Linked DNA regions of Ovis aries. The protein of the gene in region 2 purifies or fractionates together with the protein of the main gene of each other region. This does not show direct contact. Links are inferred from orthologs where the notes say so. Each region holds a gene or a part of one and is shown on either strand. Other genes may lie near its edges.

Region 1 (4,163 bases), on a different chromosome or scaffold from region 2:
TCCTAAATCATTGCCAGTTTAGTACACATCTAGCAATACCTTCTTCCTCCAGAGTGTTCAGTTATAGAAAAATGTTACCTCTATCCTCTACAACTCTATGTAAGACCAATATTATTCATATTAAAGGAGGGTATCACACCAAGGACAATTCAATACCATACTAAAATATCCTGACAAAGACCCCAGATGGTGAAGTTTGAGTGGATGACTTCAGTTCAGTTCAATCACTTAGTCGTGTCCAACTCTTTGCGACCCCATGGACTGCAGCACGCTAGGCCCCCCTGTCCATCACCAACTCCGGGAGTTCACTCAAACTTATGTCCATTGAGTCGGTGATGCCATCCAACCATCTCATCCTCTGTCGTCCCCTTCTCCTCCTGCCTTCAATCTTTCCCAGCATCAGGGTCTTTTCAAATGAGTCAGCTTTTCACATCTGATGGCCAAAGTATTGGAGTTTCAGCTTCAACATCAGTCCTTCCAGTGAACATTCAGGACTGATTTAGGATGGACTGGATGGATCTCCTTGCAGTCCAAGGGACTCTCAAGAGTCTTCTCCAACACCACAGTTCAAAAGCATCGATTCTTCAGTGCTCAACTTTCTTTATAGTCCAACTCTCACATCCATAAATGACTATTGGAAAAACCATAGCCTTGACTAGACAGACCTTTGTTGGCAAAGTAATATCTCTGCTTTTTAATATGCTGTTAAGGTTGGTCATAACTTTTCTTCCAAAGAATGTCTTTAAATTTCATGGCTGCAGTCACCATCTGCAGTGATTTTCATTTACTGAGTTCATACAAAGAGTTTCTGCTAATTACCCTCACTGTTCTATAAGACCCTTGTTTATACTAGGCCTAAAGGCCTCTAATAACCTGCCTTATAATTATTGATTTCCCCCCCTCATTCAAGAAGAAAATGGACTTTAAAAAGCATGGACCATTCTTTGAAATCTACAAACTACAAGTAACAGTTAGTGCTTCTGATGTTCCTGTGATAAATCTTTGTCCAAAACAGTAACACCATTGTTACAACTGAGGAACAGAGAGGGACCTGCATATGGACCCTCTGTAGAGAAACGCTGATTGGATCTCAGCACTGCTCATCATTTATTCTAAGGGAGGTGACAACAAACACACTTCTTTTTGATACAGACCCAGTGGTAGAGAAACCATCTAGGATAAATCCCTAACTGCTTCTCTCAAAAGTGGGGAGTCACACTGACTAGTATTTTGAAACAGAGTCAGCACATGCCAGAGAAGTGAAGCATGTGCTAACAACACCTGAATACTAATGATATTGTGAGTGGTAAAGAGGCCCTAAAGAACAGTATCTAGACCTCAAATGTTCACTGCAGTAAAAATTCCTGGAAGAAAAGAGCAATACATGAAACATGCTTACATCCGTTTCCTATGAGCCTTCTTGTAGGTATTTGTCAGAACCTCTCCAGATATATCTGTACAGTGGAGAACGTGAAACTAAAACTGTGCCATGACATTCAGACAGATTCATGTCAAAATTCAGTATACACTAGTGGGAGACAGGGTAAGGAGTAAATTACTCTTAACTGCTATTTAAAACTTTTCTGTTTTCCACATTTTCCTTAAAGTGCATTTAAAAAAAAATTAGAACAAAGATCCCTCTTCAAAAAGCCTTAGTGATTGACCCTAATAAATAAGTCCTTTTATCTATTATCCATGGCATTCTCCAGGCCAGAATACTGGAGCGGGTAGCTGCAGTACCTGGGTTGGATCTTTCCAACCCAGGGATTGAACCCAGGTCTCCCGTATTGCAGGCGGATTCTTTACCAGCTGAACCACAAGGGAAGCCCTTTATCTATTATAGTTCTAATATAAAAATAAGTGGGAATCTTAATGAAACTAACTGTATGACATTGCTGTCGTTTGCTATAATATTGGATTTTATATTGTTTATTCATAAGATTTCCCTGTCCTTTTGATATATTTACACTTGGATATATGGAGCTTTCTCATATACAGTTAAATATAACGTATAATAAGATAAAATATATTCTTAATATGTAACTAAACTATTATCACATGTGTCTTTGACTGCTTTTCCCCCTAGAGCTTAGGATGTTACCTGACCCGTAGCAGGCATTTAATATATAAATGTTTGAAGAAATGAATGTTTTTTTCTGTACTTCACTCATTTTTACTTAAAACACAAATTCCAGGAATATATGCTATTGTAACACTGAGGGCTGCCTCTCAAAGAAAAATGAAAATGTACATCAATTAATTTTTCTTCCCTTTTATTATCAGGGGGCACAGTTTCTCACAGAACTTGCACCTCTGTGTAAGATTTACTGCTCAGATGGAGAAGAATATACCATATCTAGGTAAGTTACTTTTGAACCACAACTTTGGAGAAAGAAAGGAGGTTAATACTTTTCTTCAAACCAATTTTTTTTTTTTTTTTTAACTAGCTGTGTTAGGGGGCGGTTGATGGAAGTGAATGAAAACATTCTCCATAAACCATCTATTCTTCAAGAGAAGGTAAAAAGGGCTGGGGAAGTAGGAGCCCATCCAGTACTTTTTATCTGATTTCTGTATCATTCAACAACATTAAATATTGTTTCCTTTCTAGCCATCTACCGAAGGCTACATTGCAGTTGTGTTGCCCAAATTTGAAGAAAGTAAAAGCGTAACAGAAGGGTTACTGACACAAAAGGAGTATGAAGAAGTTGTGGTGAAACGCCTCAAAGCCACAACAGCTGCCTCCTGAGGGGCGAGGACTGAGGCGGAGTGAAAGCAGCGCTGCCTCCTTGTCCTTACCTGGCCTGCCAGTCCGTGCACCGAGGAAGAACCGCGGGTGAGGCCGCCTTCCCACCCGGCCACCCGCAGCGAGGCCCGATCTGAAAACCGACCGAGTTTCCCTTCTTCATCTTGCATGACAAGCCTCAGTTCTGTCTTCTGCCTCCCAGATCTGACTACGCATGTACTCACTCACTCTGTTCTTCTCTTGCTTTTCTCTAACAACTGGCAAGCAAGATGTTTTCCTGGTTAAAAACCAACAAAGCATTTTGTGGAAAAATTTACTCATCATCCTGTAGCCCATTAATAACTACTATGTTTTGACATAATTCTGTTTGAATGTTACAGATGGTAATTGTTTTTGCCTCAATTTTCCGTCATGTTGAAGCTGAAAAACCACCAGCCTTTCTTCCCCAATCTGCTTCAGTGTGACACCACCAAAACGTCTGGTCTCACTTACGTTGCCAAGAAGAGGCAAGGGCATAGTTTGCCTTCTCTGTTCCTACAGGTTGGCCTTCAGCTCTGAACAATGTAGCACTGGCTTCTTAATGGGGGACACATGAAAAGGCCTGAAAGGGGCTTTGCTAACATGGAAGTATTACCATGTGGTGTTACGTAACGTTTATTTGTGGTCAATCTCACACTTCAGTTACAGGATAACCAGTGAAGAAGTTATTATAATTCAAAGACACAGATGCCTTTGAACAAAAAAAAAGCTTTCATATTTAAAGAAACAAAAATCTATGAATTTATGGTTTCAGATTATATATTTACAATGAATTTCAAATAAAAGTGCTTTTAAAATTTTTATTTTTCCTTAAGGGCTGCAACACATACAAACATACAAATATTTCTTTTTAAATAAAAGTTATCATTGATGTGTAAATTCTTTTGGACTTCCTTCATCTTTTGCTGTTCAAGTTGTAAGTTATCCCTTTCCCACCCCTACTCGCACTCTGAACCGGACTTGAAACAATGGACTGGTTCAAAACTGGGAAAGGAGTACCTCAAAAGGCTGTATATTGTCACTCTGCTTATTTAACTTATATGCAGAGTACATCATGAGAAACGCTGGGCTGGATGAAACACAAGCTGGAAGCAAGACTGCCGGGAGAAATATCAATAACCTCAGATAGGCAGATGATACCACCCTTATGGCAGAAAGTGAAGAGGAACTAAAAAGCCTCTAGATGAAGGTGAAAGAGGAGAGTGAAAAAGTTGGCTTAAAACTCAGCATTCAAAAAACGAAGATGGCATCTGGTCCCATCACTTCGTGGCAAATAGATGGTGAAAAAATGGAACAGTGACAGTCTTTCTTTTCTTGGGCTCCAAAATCATTGTGGACAGTGACTCCAGCCATGAAATTAAAAGACACTTGCTCCTTGGAA
Region 2 (3,517 bases):
AATCCTCATAGAGTACATTTCACTTCACAAGAAATTAAGGAACTTCAGCAGGTAAACCACTTCATGACATGGAAATTGTCATGTTTCTGCAACTCTGTAACTGAACTAGAGTTGCTAATTGTTTTTCTTTTTCTAATACTACAGAAAATTAATAACTCATCTAACAAAATCCAAGTCCGTGACTTGCAGCTTGTCACAAGGTAAGGGTAGGCTCACTGGTGATGTCTCAAGAGGGGAGTTTTGGTTACAGATCATTTATCTGATAAGGGATTTGTATCCAGAATATATAAAGAACTCCTGCAACTCAGTAATAAGAAAACAACTCGATTAAAACTAGAGACAATGTTAAGTGCACATTGCTCCAAAGAGGATATACAAATAGCCAGTGAATACATGAAAAAGTGTTCAGCATCATTAGTCATTAGGGAAATGCACATCAAAACCACAATGAGATCCCACTTAACAAAAAAGACAGAAAACAGCAAGTATTGGCGAGAATGTGGAGAAATCGGATCCCTTGTACATTCCTGTGGGATGGTAACTAGTACCACTTGGGAAAACAATTTGGCAGTTTCTCAAAAGGTTAAATATATAGTAGCCATCTGACCCAGTAGTCCCACTTTTGCTATATACCCACGAGAAGTGAAAATGTACATCCACACAGAGACTTCTGCATGAATGCTTATAGTCACATTACTCACAATAGCAAAAAAGTGGAAACCACAAAAATGTCTATGCATAAACAAAATGGTATATCCATACAGTGGAAAATCAGTGGTAAAATATCAGTACTTTACTTTAAAATACTGATACATGTGGCAACGTGGATGAACCTTAAAAACATTATGAAGAAGCCAGACATCAAATACCACATATTATACATTTTACAGTATTCATATTTTATATAAAATGTTCCCAGTAGGGATGTCTATAAAGTCAACTAGTGGTTGCCAACGGCTGGGGGAAATGGGGAACGAGAAGAGATTGCAGTTGGGTGTGGAGTTTCTCTTTTGGGGTGATTAAGGTGTTCTAAAATTAGACTGTGGTAATTGCTGCACAGCTCTGTAAACGTACTAAAAATCACTGAATCGTTCAGTTAAACAGAGGAATTGTATGTAAATTATATCTCACTAAAGCTATTTTTAAAGAAAGAGAAGTTTGGGGCAAGGCTTATCTGTATTTTATAAACTCAGACAAACTTTCTTTTATTGTTTTTGTTTAGAGAGGCAATAGGACATATGAAAGAAGGTGAAGAAGAGAAGACCAAGACCTACAGTGCCTTAATATGGACAAATAAAGCAATACAGAGGAAGGACATTGAATTCCTAGATGACATAAAGGTAGTTCAGTGCTCTAATTCTTCTGTTTTTCTACTAACTATGAAAGTCTTTTGTCTTCTCATTTATTGCCAAGTCATAGCACACTGGCTTTGGGGACCCTTGAGTTGTTGCTGTTGTTTAGTTGCTAAATCATGTCCAACTCTTTTTCAACCCCTTGGACTATAGCCTGCCAGGCTCCTCTGTCCATTGCATTTCCCAGGCAAGAATACTGGAGAGGGTTGCTGTTTTCTTCTCCAGGGGATCTTCCAGGCCCAGGGATGGAACCCATGTGTCCTGCATTGGCAGGCGGGTTCTTTACCACTGAGCCACCAGGGGCTGTGAAACCTGGTTCTAAATTCTGGCTCTGCCATTTACTCCTTAAATGACTGAGTAATTCATCTAACCTGTCTGAGAAGCAGTGTTGCTATTGATTAGGAGTCTGACTCCAAGAACAGATAACCTGTGTACAAATCTTGGTTCTGCATTTCTTGGTTGTATGACTTCGGATGAGTTGCTTAGCTTCTTTGTGCTTCAGTTTCTTCATCGATAAAATTAGTTAGAAGAATTAAACAGGTTTAGTCACATAAAGCCCTTATGATAGGATCTGGCATATAGAAAACCTTCAACAATGCTATTATTATATTTGACCATCTGCAGAAAGGAAATAGAAAACAGAATTTATCTAATAGAATTGGTGCTCAGATTAACTGCACAGATAAAACATATTGTAAATCAGTATGTCAGGGGGATATATGTAGGGCACAAATGTTTTGGCACATGCTAGATTTTCCTTCACATGAGGATGTTGCTCTTGAGGATCTACATGTTCCTTTGAGTATTTCTTCCCACCTGCCCCCACCTCTTCCTGTAAAGATAACTTACTTTCACATGCAAGGAATGAGCAAAAATGGGCACAAATATGTAGTTATCACAGCATTGTTTAAATGGGCAATATTTTGTAAAAATCTAGAGGGGACTGGTTTAGTCTTATGGCTTATCTGGTATGATGGACTATTACTAGCCAGATGTTAGAAATTTTATGGAAGATGAATATTCATTGACAAAGGGAAATGTTCCTGATGAATACTAAAGGGGGGAAAAAAAACAAGCTATAAGAATATAAAGGACTTCTATGGTGGTCCAGTGGCTGGGAATCCGCCTGTCAGTGCAGGGGCACAGCTTTGATCCCTGGCCTGAGAAGTTCCCATATGCCGTGGGCAACTATGCCTGTGTGCTACAACTAGTGAGCCCATGCACTCTAGAGCCGTGGTCTAAAACAAGAGAAGCCACAGTAAATAGAAGCCTGCACACCACAACTAGAGAGTAGCCCCTGCTTGCCACAACCAGAGAAAGCCCGTGTGCGGCAACGAAGACCCAGCACAGCCAAAAATAAGTAAATTAAAAAAATAATAAAAGAATATATAGAGGATGATACATTGTGATTTAGACACACAAAGTGTGTGGTTATATATACACATATGTATGACTCTGTACCAAAAAAATGTATGGCAAAAGAAATACCATAAATAGGATTTATACTTATGAAAAACATAAATACCCAATAGAGAAAACTGGACAAATTATTTGAACAGACAGCTGAAAAAATGGCAACTCCAAATGGCCAAGAATCATTTGAAAAGATACTTTACCTCTAGACTAAAGCAACAATGACATCACTTTATTCTTCTGAGGCTAAGAATGTCTGTCGGTTGGAGGGAGAAGGCTAGTTACTTATATTTTCAGTAGAAATATAAGTGTTTTAACCTTTTGGAAAACAATGTGGCAGTGACTGTGAAAATAAAAGTTTAATGGTCTACCCAGTACTTCCCCTATTGGCAATCTGTCCTGAAGAAATAAAACTTCAGTGTATAAGGATATGTGCACAAGGATGTTTGTTGACTTTGTTCAGAGTGTGAAAATCAACAAAACTGTAAACAAAGTAAATTTCCTTTGATAAGGAAATGGTAGAACATGTTGGAATATTATGCAGCTATTTAAAAAAAACTAAAACATGTGATCCCATTTAATTTGTGTTGTTGTATGTATATATGTCTAAAACTGTTGTGAAAAAAAGATGTAGGTAGGTCTACATCTATGACTTGTAGGAACATCCATAACACTGGCAGGGGAAAGCAAGGTGCAGAATAGTGTTTATTTTAATAATGAGTATTTTGGTGAAAACATACAGGTCACCTACT

What was found. The genes of interacting proteins can lie anywhere in the genome.
Region 1: the proteins of PUS10 (region 2) and ABITRAM purify together in Homo sapiens (affinity purification with mass spectrometry; 3 studies listed by BioGRID and IntAct, counting the BioPlex papers as one, with this or other methods). This does not show direct contact. The link is inferred for Ovis aries from reciprocal best matches to the Homo sapiens genes PUS10 and ABITRAM.

The regions. Positions count from the first base shown.
Region 1 is NC_056055.1:14,337,552-14,341,714, reverse strand, and holds the end of ABITRAM (protein Abitram), read left to right. Parts: intron 1-2,283; coding exon 2,284-2,360; intron 2,361-2,447; coding exon 2,448-2,517; intron 2,518-2,608; coding exon 2,609-2,746; 3' UTR 2,747-3,661; downstream 3,662-4,163. UniProt on the Homo sapiens protein: Actin-binding protein that regulates actin polymerization, filopodia dynamics and increases the branching of proximal dendrites of developing neurons.
Region 2 is NC_056056.1:63,066,884-63,070,400, forward strand, and holds part of PUS10 (tRNA pseudouridine synthase Pus10), read left to right. Parts: coding exon 1-51; intron 52-144; coding exon 145-200; intron 201-1,222; coding exon 1,223-1,340; intron 1,341-3,517. UniProt on the Homo sapiens protein: Protein with different functions depending on its subcellular location: involved in miRNA processing in the nucleus and acts as a tRNA pseudouridylate synthase in the cytoplasm.